3 linked regions of the Daphnia pulex genome follow. Each later gene encodes a partner of the first gene's protein in a complex. Links are inferred from orthologs where the notes say so. Each region holds a gene or a part of one and is shown on either strand. Other genes may lie near its edges.

Evidence for each region.
Region 2: inhibitor of growth protein 3-like (region 1) and vacuolar protein sorting-associated protein 72 homolog share a complex: the UniProt entries of both Homo sapiens proteins name them as parts of the nuA4 histone acetyltransferase complex. The link is inferred for Daphnia pulex from reciprocal best matches to the Homo sapiens genes ING3 and VPS72.
Region 3: inhibitor of growth protein 3-like (region 1) and chromatin modification-related protein MEAF6-like share a complex: the UniProt entries of both Homo sapiens proteins name them as parts of the nuA4 histone acetyltransferase complex. The link is inferred for Daphnia pulex from reciprocal best matches to the Homo sapiens genes ING3 and MEAF6.

What each region holds. Positions count from the first base shown.
Region 1 is NC_060019.1:7,721,491-7,725,575, forward strand, and holds the start of inhibitor of growth protein 3-like, read right to left. Parts: upstream 2,904-4,085; 5' UTR 2,771-2,903; coding exon 2,743-2,770; intron 2,671-2,742; coding exon 2,599-2,670; intron 1-2,598. UniProt on the Homo sapiens protein: Component of the NuA4 histone acetyltransferase (HAT) complex which is involved in transcriptional activation of select genes principally by acetylation of nucleosomal histones H4 and H2A.
Region 2 is NC_060028.1:9,610,896-9,614,687, forward strand, and holds vacuolar protein sorting-associated protein 72 homolog, read right to left. Parts: upstream 2,313-3,792; 5' UTR 2,155-2,312; exon of another isoform or gene 2,097-2,154; 5' UTR 2,031-2,096; coding exon 1,888-2,030; intron 1,829-1,887; coding exon 1,699-1,828; intron 1,642-1,698; coding exon 1,382-1,641; intron 1,320-1,381; coding exon 918-1,319; intron 849-917; coding exon 557-848; 3' UTR 501-556; downstream 1-500. Other genes in the region: uncharacterized protein LOC124210055, read right to left, coding at 1-108, 183-309; uncharacterized protein LOC124210054, read left to right, coding at 3,022-3,091, 3,222-3,371, 3,439-3,536, 3,609-3,730, 3,790-3,792. UniProt on the Homo sapiens protein: Deposition-and-exchange histone chaperone specific for H2AZ1, specifically chaperones H2AZ1 and deposits it into nucleosomes.
Region 3 is NC_060026.1:14,090,956-14,093,626, reverse strand, and holds chromatin modification-related protein MEAF6-like, read left to right. Parts: upstream 1-1,243; 5' UTR 1,244-1,311; coding exon 1,312-1,386; intron 1,387-1,452; coding exon 1,453-1,659; intron 1,660-1,717; coding exon 1,718-1,918; 3' UTR 1,919-2,058; downstream 2,059-2,671. Other genes in the region: histone deacetylase 8-like, read right to left, coding at 1-28, 100-292, 362-433, 492-668, 731-905, 1,039-1,185; V-type proton ATPase subunit D-like, read left to right, coding at 2,290-2,330, 2,439-2,556, 2,626-2,671.

The sequences.
Region 1 (4,085 bases):
GAAGTCGTAAAAAATGCAATGCAAGTCCAGTATTGGAGAACTATCTACTGGTCAGACTCCTTGGTTGCACTAGGATGGATTAGAGGAGAGCCGAACAAATGGAAACCATTCGTCCGAAACCAAGTGGAGACGATACGAAAATTTTCACAACCCGAGTGGTGGAGACACTGTCCAGGTCTCCAAAATCCGGCCGATCTTGCCTCGCGGGGAGCGCCAGCGCCAACGCTGGTAACCTCAACTCTTTGGTGGAACGGCCCGATTTGGCTCAAAGGAGAAGAAACGGAATGGCCAGATTCTCCCAACGACCAAATTCCACAAACAATCCAGTCCGAAATGGAATCGGAAGCTAGGAGTACGACGGTCAGCACAACAGCAGCCATCGCAATTCCAACAGCCTCCGTCGACTGGAATCTCGACAAAATTTCCACCTGGAATCGACTGTTAAGACGTACAGCCTGGGTCTCACGATTCCTCAGCAGGAGTCAAAAGAAGCTCAGACCTCCCGGTCCAGAACGAATGGAGTCGATAAAGGCAATTGGACCAGATGGAAAAGGAAGTGGAAAAGTTATCCGGATTACAAGATTATCCAGAGAGGAGCTGGATGAAGCGGAACTAACGATCTACAGACAGCTCCAACGAGAGCGGTATCCTAAGGCGTTTGAATCGCTACAGTTAGACAACACAATCCAGCCCAAGGAGAAAATCGCTGCACTTTTTCCAATCTGGGACGCCAGAGACCGTCTCGTTCGAATCCATGGGAGAGTATCACTTGCCCTAAGAGATAGAAACATCGATCCCCCAATTTTGCTTCCTGCATCACATATAGTAATCACTTTCTTAATTACAGACAAACACGAGTCACTACTACATGCAGGAGCAAAAGTAACACTATCCGAGTTAAAAGAAAAATTCTGGATAGTTAAAGGACGACAGCAAGAACTAGCAGCCCCTCTTCCTTTAAACCGACTCAAACATGCGCAATCTTTTCACGTTACAGGAGTCGATTTCGCTGGACCACTGCTGTACAAACCAGCACAGCGAAGGAAGAAAAGGAAAGCTCCACCAAGCGTCCAGGATCCGACGCCAGCAGACGATCCAACTGAAGAGCGAATCGAGGAGCCACCCGCTGAAGGAGACGCTCCAATCGAAGCTCTAATCGTAGGCGAAGAGGATTCAGTCGAAGAAGATGTCGAAATCCAAGACATCTTAATAACAACAACTAAAGCTAAGAAAACGAACCATCTTAAAAGTTATGTTTGTCTTTTTACGTGTGCAGTCACTCGAGCGGTTCACTTGGAACTACTACCCGATATGACGGCGCGTTCCTTCTTACTAGCCTTTCGAAAATTCGCAGCTAGACGAGGACCCGTCTCAGTGATGTATTCGGACAACGCGCAAACGTTCCGATGTGTCGACCGATTCCTGAGAACTATTCACGCCGATCCCATCATTCAAGACTTTCTCGCGTCCAGAAAAACCCTTTGGATATTTTCCGCCAGCCTAGCGCCATGGTGGGGAGGATTCTGGGAACGGATGGTGAGGAGCGTCAAGGATCTGCTGCGACGCTCCAACGGTCGAGCCTGCCTTGACTACATGGAACTGGAAGCGAGTTTAGCAGAAATCGAGAGCGTAATCAACGCCCGCCCACTCAGCTATATTGGGGAAGGAGCTGACGATCCACTTCCGATAACTCCTAACCAATTTCTAAACAACAGACGTTCTACTCGTGCCGATCCGGAGCCAGCCGTTAACTTGCTGGATCCTACATCGACCAGCATCGTACTACAAGAGATGGACAAGAACAGGAGGGAATATGTCGCTGACATCTGTGCTAGATTCGTCGACGATTATCTACTCCAACTAGACAACTTCCACTCCAAAGGAAAATCCGGAAGGAAGATCCGCCTAGGAGAAGTCGTTGTTATCCACGACGAACACTCCAAACGACTCATGTGGTCTACCGGAGTAGTGAAGGAACTGATTCCAAGCCGCGACGGACTCATCCGTTCTGTCATGCTCAAGATTCCAAATGGTAATTTAATTAATAGAGCCATTCAATGTCTTCACCCTATAGAGCTGCGAGAAGATCTCGCCGAAGACGTCGAAATTGGAAATCCGGAACCGATCCAGGAGCCGGAAGAGGATCCAAATCCAACTCTGCCAGAACCAGAAATCGATCTCGCTATCGGAGACGCTATGCCAGCTCCCGAAGAACCGGAAGACGTCGTCGAAGATGTCGAGCCGGATGCTACGGGCTCTGGTGGGGAGTGTGTTAGGAATATTCCATTCCAACAGACGACGACGAGATCAGGGCGCCGCACAACAACACCGGCGCACCTACGCGACTATTGCCTTGGGGGCCCCCGATAGGTGGCCCCAAATTCAGTCGTTGGTCCCCAAATTCAGTCGTTGTTTCCCTACCCCCCTATTGTTTATTCCCCCCCAATTTACTGTACAATATTCAGTGTGTTAAAATAGACGAGAGGTAAAAGACACGGTTTTGTTCGTGTCTAATTTATTCAACTTGGAAACTGTAAGTAAACGGCCCGACACGCCGAACATCCCTATTACATTTTCTACAACTTATTCGAGAGTTACTTTGAACTTGTAAATCCATTTCGCGCATTTCAGTAAATCGATCCCTCAGTTCTTGGGGCAAATGCTCTATCACTACAATGGGGAGATGGTAATTTAAAAATTTTAATCAGGGAACTTTATCATCACTTGAAACACTCATCATACTTTCCAAATAATCTTCTAAGTACAACATTTTGGTACAAATTGATTGAAATCGACAATAAAATTTATTTAAGTTTTGAGAAATTTTCTTTTTCTTATACGCTTTTGACGGATGGCTTGGATCACTGCTTCTTTTCTGCAGTTGATCTACAGGAATCTAATGTGATGACGCGAGCGAGTGAATGTCTGCAGATTCCCTCTAGCGAGCAATTTGGTCACTAGGAGTTGTGCTCACTTGGTCTAGTGTTAGCCTACTGCCGCCTACTGCCAGTCCTAGTTATACTGTAGGCAGCGTACGTACGCCGCAAGGTACCCGAAGGGAATGTTAAGGGTATTCTAGTTGGTATAGTAGTATTGGTATAGTTTTACAAAGACAGAGCTATAGAATAGTTATAGAATAATAAAAATATTCTGTTATAAAGGTAGGCCTATTATTAAGATGGATTAATAACATTTAAAAAAAATTTATGCCCTTAGTTTCCGGAAGATTGTAATAAGCATAAATCGAGAAAGAGATTAAAAGAATATTTCCGCGTGACTTTGGTGCGGCGGAGGCTTCGCCCCGCCACCCCACGTCACACCGGATCTTGTTAAAATTAAATTTAAGTAACTACCTATCAGCACTTCTGTTACTGGAGATTGATAGCGTTCGGTGATAACATACAGTGACTTCTATTCTATCATACAATAGTAGTCGATTGTCACGTTACGTTTATATCCCTGTCACATGTCTCTGTATTATCGTCTGCTGTAACAGCTATTGAAATTCTGTCAAAAAGTAACCAGAACTCCGTTTGATCAAATGCCTGAATTGATTGCAGCCAAATTTTCAGAATAGATGTAAAAAATTGTAAGCTACCGATTACTGCCATTGAAATGCAATAAAATTGTTGATTACAATCAATAATTGCCAAAAACTAGTGCATCCATCTATGTAGTGTTACGAGAACTGAGGGTGCCCATGTAAACCATACTGCAAACGAAACTTTGACCAGTAACCCTTCGGGTAATTTGTAAATATTGAAATATTTGAAATAAATAACATGAAAACTAATTAAAAGTGACATGTGTGCTTTGACTTTGTCTTGTCTTTGACTCAACTCATGTGTCTATGTGAAAGAGCCGTCTGAAAAGCGATCTAAATTGGGCTCCGAAAGTCCGAAAAAACCTTCTTAAAAAATCCGTGTCTTCGGAGTTCGGACGTCACCTTCTTTTTACGAAAAAATTTCGTTCCATCTTTAACAACACTCAGTAGATTTGAGTCCAATTTTGTATTTAGAACCTTTTAGAGATTGAATTTAACCATTCAGGCTTACAGAGAAATTTTCGCACGTAGCAGTGAATCG
Region 2 (3,792 bases), on another chromosome or scaffold:
ACTCGTCTGCAGAGCAATCCTCGGAATTGCGACACTCTCCGCCTGCCGCTTGATGAACTGGACAAAAGATAAGAGGCTTTAATGTTTTGGTTGAATGCTGACGTCTTGCTAACAATGGAAAAGACAAAAATGAGCTGTTCAAATTATTTTTGGAAACACATTTTTAAAATGGCTGATTTTACCTGCAGTCCACCAATTAGGAACAAAACGAGTAGCTCCGCTGTAAGGAACCAACTGCTGGGTGACTAATGTCAACTGAATTAGTAGTAGAGCAGCACAATAGTACAAGTTTTGAAGTTTAAAGAACATGGTATACGTCTTGATCGCCTTCCGGTTTCATCATCACTGCCAACTTATTTGTCGGCAGGTGTAGCAAGACGCTTTTGATAGGATTTAACCTATGAATAATTCATCGATAACATTTGCTAGTCTGACAAAGTTCGTATGAAACACAAATCGAGTTGAAAGAAACCCTAAATTGTCTAATGGTCGAAAGAAAATATCAAAAAATGTCCATTTTATTCATGTCGGTTGCAAAAAATGAGGAGAATTTCGTTCATATCGTCGGTGTGGAGTTATTCGAGTTGGAGGGTTTGACTGCTGGAACTGGCGTCGATGCAGGTGCTGAGTTTCCCTGCGCGTTGACCTGTTGAGCGCGAGCGGCAGCTAGAGCGGCGAGTCGAGCTTGGCGGTACTTTTGACGCCATTCCTTCCAGCGGCCGATCTCCGGATCGCTGGCGTCTCCTTTCACCTCCAGCTGCTGGCAATAGGCCTCACGTAAAATCCGGAAGGCCTGTAGAGTGCCGTACGGCAGCTGAGTCACCGGATCAAAGTATTTGGCTCTTTGCCTGAAAAGAGATATGATAAACGAATGATATTTCCCTTTCATCTAAGAGAAGACGATCACTCAAACCGACCTGGTGATAGGACAAAAATTCTTTTGAGGTGGAGTGACTTTCGTCCGACTGAAATTAGCCTCCAAGACACTGTCATTCGAAAACGTAACGAAAGTTCTTTCACAACACTGCTTGCTGTCGACTGTGGCTACCGTGCCATTCTCAACAACTGGATTATCTTCTTTTTCCTCATCTTCTTCGACATTAATTCGCTCGGCTTCCGGGTTGACTTCCTGGATCAGAGGCATTGACGTCGAGAGGTAACGAATTGTTGGTCCAGTAGGAGCCTTTTTCACGACCCTAGTTTTCTTTTTCTCCAGTTCAAGTTGGTGATACTTTTCCAATGATTGAATGTTAAGCAATTCAGTCTCTTTGGCTTCTTCTAGAAGCTGTTGTTGGGTTAACTTTTCAGAATTGTCCCTTCTACATCATAATAAATGATTGGTTTGAAACATTTCTAATGAAGAATTATTTTTAATGCTAACCTGTTGTGTTTTCTTTTCCCTTTTGTTTCTCTCTCCCTGAGTCTTTGTACAGTTTCAGCTGATTTCAATACAGTTGTTTGCCTTACTGCCTTCTTTTCTCTGGCCTGTGAAGGAATTTTTGGCTTTCTGGCATATTTCGACCTGACCTTCGGGACTTCCACAGGAACTTCTGTTTTTTCTCCAGCTTTTGCTATTCTTTCTGTCATTTCATCAGCATTTTTGTCACCCTTTAAGCGTTTGCTCGAGGAAGCTTTAGGCTCCTAAGAAAATTTTTAAAAATGATTTCATTCGTTAATTCTGTAGTAGAATAGACATACCTTGTACGCTTTGGTACTGACTACACCTCGTTTTCTTTTAGTGCCCTCATCTTCATGATCAGAGATAGGTTCATCATTTTCATCAATGCTGAAATCTGAGTCTACTACGTCATCCTGGTCCTCTTCCGCTCTAGACCAAAAAAAGATTTGTTTTATTGATGTAATATACAAATTTAGACTTTAAATTACTTGAAAACGAATTCATTGTCATCTTCTTCATCATTGAATCCACCGTAAGTGCTTTTATAGAAATCGTCATCCTGTTCTTCTTCCTCCAGTAATTTTGACAAGCGATTGCCCGCATTTACACGCCGTTCACGTTGTAGCGACATGATGAACTTTAACAGATAGACGTTATTTTTTACTAAACAAACACTATGAGAATTCAATTACTAGATCTGAGAACACAAAGTTCACGTTAAAATTACACAAAAAAATTAGTTTTTTCTAAACAACCTCAACTGGAAAAGCAGACGCCAACGCCACAGAAAGCCATCTATTGACTAAAACCAAACTTAATTCTTGCTAAATCACAACGCTAGGTGGCGTTATATCCTACAGAAACCTTTCCGCCTTTCCTTTCATTCTTTCTACTTTGCTTCTCCTGGATTTAGACGTACTGTACCTAAAAAAAGAAATTCTGTCTCTTTCATTTTATATTTGTTCTTCAATCTTCATTCAGTCCTTCCCCTTTAAGACTGAAGTTAGTTACTAAGAAAAAGAATTGAAAACACTTCACCTTGTTTGTTATAACGTTTTGTGTTGAGGAACCACTTTAAAGAGAATATTAAAATTGTTACAGACTTCAAGCTCTTTATCCCGATCCTTATCCAGGTTGATGAACACAATGAAAAAGCAAAAGACAAGATCACACACATTCATGACATGACTATAACATTTTTGTTTAAATGAAGGTACGAATTATTCTGCTGCATTTTATCAGTAAAATTGCCAGTTCCAACCAGTTCCAACCATTTCACAAATTGACCCTTAAAATATTGCCTCAGTGGGTATCGCTACTTTGCCAGTTCCTCACCATTTACGTATAATTAAATTTTACAATTGTTATTTTTCAAAATCAAAAGTAAAACCAATTTTCCCGCCGGTGCATGCTATTTCTGCCGCACGGAAGTAAGCTTTACTTCTGGCATTCATCTGAAAGAACGAAAAAATCACCTGAGGCTAGAATAACCCAGAGAAAGTCATTGACAGATGGAAAACTCAGGTGTTTCCGTACAAAGACCGGCATGCAGTTAGTCTTGAAACCAGTTCAGCTTGACTGACTCCGGTGCCATCTCACCATTTCTTTGAAAGCTTTATCAAATGTTTGTCCGTGATTTTGTGCTCTTGTCTCTGACATTCTTATTGTGTCTGTTCACGTCAAGAGGAGAAGGTGAGAATCATTAAAGCGTTTTAACTTGATATGTTTTTGTTAAGAAACTACGGAATCTTGCAAGAATTACGTCATCCTACTAGTCTAAGTCAAGTAATTTCAATTATATTACCACTTTTCCCTTCAACTGCAGAATTATGGCGGGAAGATGTGACTGGGCGTATGAACATTGGTGTGACGGCTTCGGGGTTCGATCAGATCCGGCTAGACTGCGGTAGCAACAATTTTCAAGTGGTAGTAGAGACACTGGCCGATTTTAGAGGAGTCATATACACCAGAGGTACAAAACAAGAGAAAATATCGATTTAAAATTTAAATTTTCGTTTCTAAATTTTTCTCTGACTTAGGCAGCTTCTATTCACGAAAGGCACCGTGCTTTCTAGATGCTAACGGTGGCCGTCGTTTTCGGCTCAAAATACCATACGATCAGTGCAATGTTGAGGATGTACGTGCAATAAGAATAACGAATGTATCAACACGTCTAACGTCTCATGTTTCTAATGTGCAATTTTTTTAGGATGGAGAAAAGTTTCAAGTGACTCTCATCTTACAGCATGATAAGGAGCTCATTATGCCAGGAGACGGAGCTTTTGCACTGCAATGTGATCTGTCAGCCAAAGATTCAAAATCTTTTAAAGTGTAAGATTTCAAAATGGTTTCGACGTCATTAAAAGTACTCATAATTCATTGATTTGCAGATC
Region 3 (2,671 bases), on another chromosome or scaffold:
AAAACGTTTCATTACTTCCTGGAAAACTCTTTTGTCACAGATGAATGAATGATGATGAACCACATTGTAGGTTTTAAGGAGACAAAAGAAAATTTATACGTTTGAAAGACGTGGATGAAAGTTTCATCGCAAGCCCCATCTCTGAGTGGAACATTGCATGAATAGTTGCGACCCCTGCCGAAACCAGTGTCGTTGACTGAACCTGTACCCGGAAAATATCCTTCTTCATGTTTATGTAACGATAGCGTAAACACTTTGCGGCTGTAAGCGAAAGCATTTTCAACTCCGTCTCCTTAAATAAATAAAAATGGGTTTGTATCAATCCTTGTATACATTTACACTGAAAAAGGGTTGGACTTACCGTGGTGAATATCCAAGTCAATATAAAGTACGAGTTTGAATTTTCTTTCCAATTCTAGGATGGCAAGAACACCTGAAAATCCAATAGTTTTACCTTGTGTTTTCATTATAAAAATATTAAATTATTGTACAGTCATTGATGTAGCAGAATCCTGATGCACAATCTCTCTGAGCGTGATGCCAGCCTCCACAGAAATTTACTGCCACATCAACAGATCCAGAAACAAGTGCTTTGGCTCCTGCTACAGATCCACCAGCTATCACAGAGATAAAGTCATCAAGCTTGTCAAGTGGGGGGCAGTCAAATCCTTGATTAGATTTTAATGTGATAAATTAACATTTCCATTACATGTTTCCATATTCATATTACCTAAACCATATTCCTCACTGGATTCATCCTCTACATCCACATCACCTTTGAGGAATTCAATGTAATCGGCAGAATGAAATCCTTGAAAGACGTCATCATTAACTTTATCACAGTTTAAAAGCAAGACATGATCTAAGAGTCCATAAGATTCCAGCAAATGATGAACTAATGAGGCCTGAAAAGAAACAAAGCAAAAGTGAGATCAAAATACGTTATATGTACTATTGAAAGTTAGTTGTACATAATGCTTAAGTATGTCAAAATTTAACTGTGACATTTTTTAGTGGTGAATGGAAAAAAAATGTTACCCTGTTCTTCAGGTTTGGTACTCTATTACATTGATGAATTAATTCCGGTGAATATACATAGCCAATTTTAGATTTAGGGGGACATTTTATGATTTTTTCCTCGTTATCATCACAGCTCTTTTTTTCGTCCGGCAGTATACCCGCCATTTGAATAACGTTGTCTGCACCGCCACGTTCACTAGCGACATGGCGGACAATAAAGAAACCCGAAATTAAATGGCCGCCAGCATCGCCTGAACAACAAAAGAAAAGGGCGAAATTTTGGCTTGTAAAATGACTAAAAATACATCCAGCTCCGATTTACGATCTGAACTTTCTGACCTCGTCAAACGAAGAATCGAAGTCGCCGTAAGAATGAATTCAAATTTAACCTTAAAAACTGCCTACTTCATTGTTTATATTTGTGTTTTGTAGGAAACCCTAGCCAACTTGGAAAGACAAATTTATGCATTCGAAGGTAGTTACCTGGAAGATACACAGCTTTACGGAAATATTATTCGAGGATGGGACCGTTATTTAAACAGTACTAGCAAACTGTCAAACCCTTCATCTGACAAAAGGAACAGGAAATTCAAGGAAAATGAAAGACTTTTCTCCAAGTCTTCAATTACTTCTATGGCGGTAGAATTGCATGACACTTCTACTGAATTAACAGAAATAAAATTTCTTTCAAACCTAGGCTGTGAGCGGGATCATTGATCTGAATTCTGAGAGAGCAGAACGAAGCAGTGAAACTGAATCACAAGCAGGAATGAGTGGAAGTGACGAAAACAGCAGAGATTTTCTCGGTTTAGAGGGGGTCAATGGTGATAAGTTAGGAAAAGTTTCAAAATCCAGACATATAAATAAAAGAGGGAGCAAGAAGTCAAAACTGAAATAATTTCATATTCACTGTTCATTTTCCTATTCTCTATAACATGGTTTCGTGAATGCCCTTATGAATGTACCTTCCTAAGTGTTAAACAAACTTTATGTCTGTGTGTCAATTTTCTGGTTTTCTGAATAAATGCTCGAATTAAACATTCCAATGTTCTCGCAATTCATTTTCCGATTCAGACTTATTACGTAAATATGTTTCATCCTTCTATCGCCAGATGGATTTGAAAGCTCATTTGCTCCTCCCCCTCTCTTCCTTCTCTTGTTGTCACATGATCAGATGATTCTTGTCAAAATTCGGTAACCACACACTAAACCCTCTTACGAACCCTATTCGTTTGTATTGTATTATTCAGATCCAGTTTTAATCACACAATGTCGGGAAAAGACAAAATTGCCATTTTTCCTTCTCGAGGGTATGTCATATTTATCTTTAAGACGATTCAGTTGTAATTTAGAACATATTAGAGCTCAATAACAACTTTCAAGTTTTTGGTTTAATTCCTTTCTCTTGACACAATCAGAGCACAGACTTTGATGAAACATCGGCTTGCCGGTGCACAGAAAGGCCATGGTCTTCTTAAAAAGAAGGCAGATGCTCTTCAAATGAGGTTCCGCTCAATCCTGAAAAAGATCATTGATGTAAGTTGAAAAGGAATTAAGTATCTACTTTACTTGGCATTACAAAATAATTATTACTCAATGTTTCAGACAAAAGTACTAATGGGAGATGTGATGAAGGAAGCTGCATTTTCAC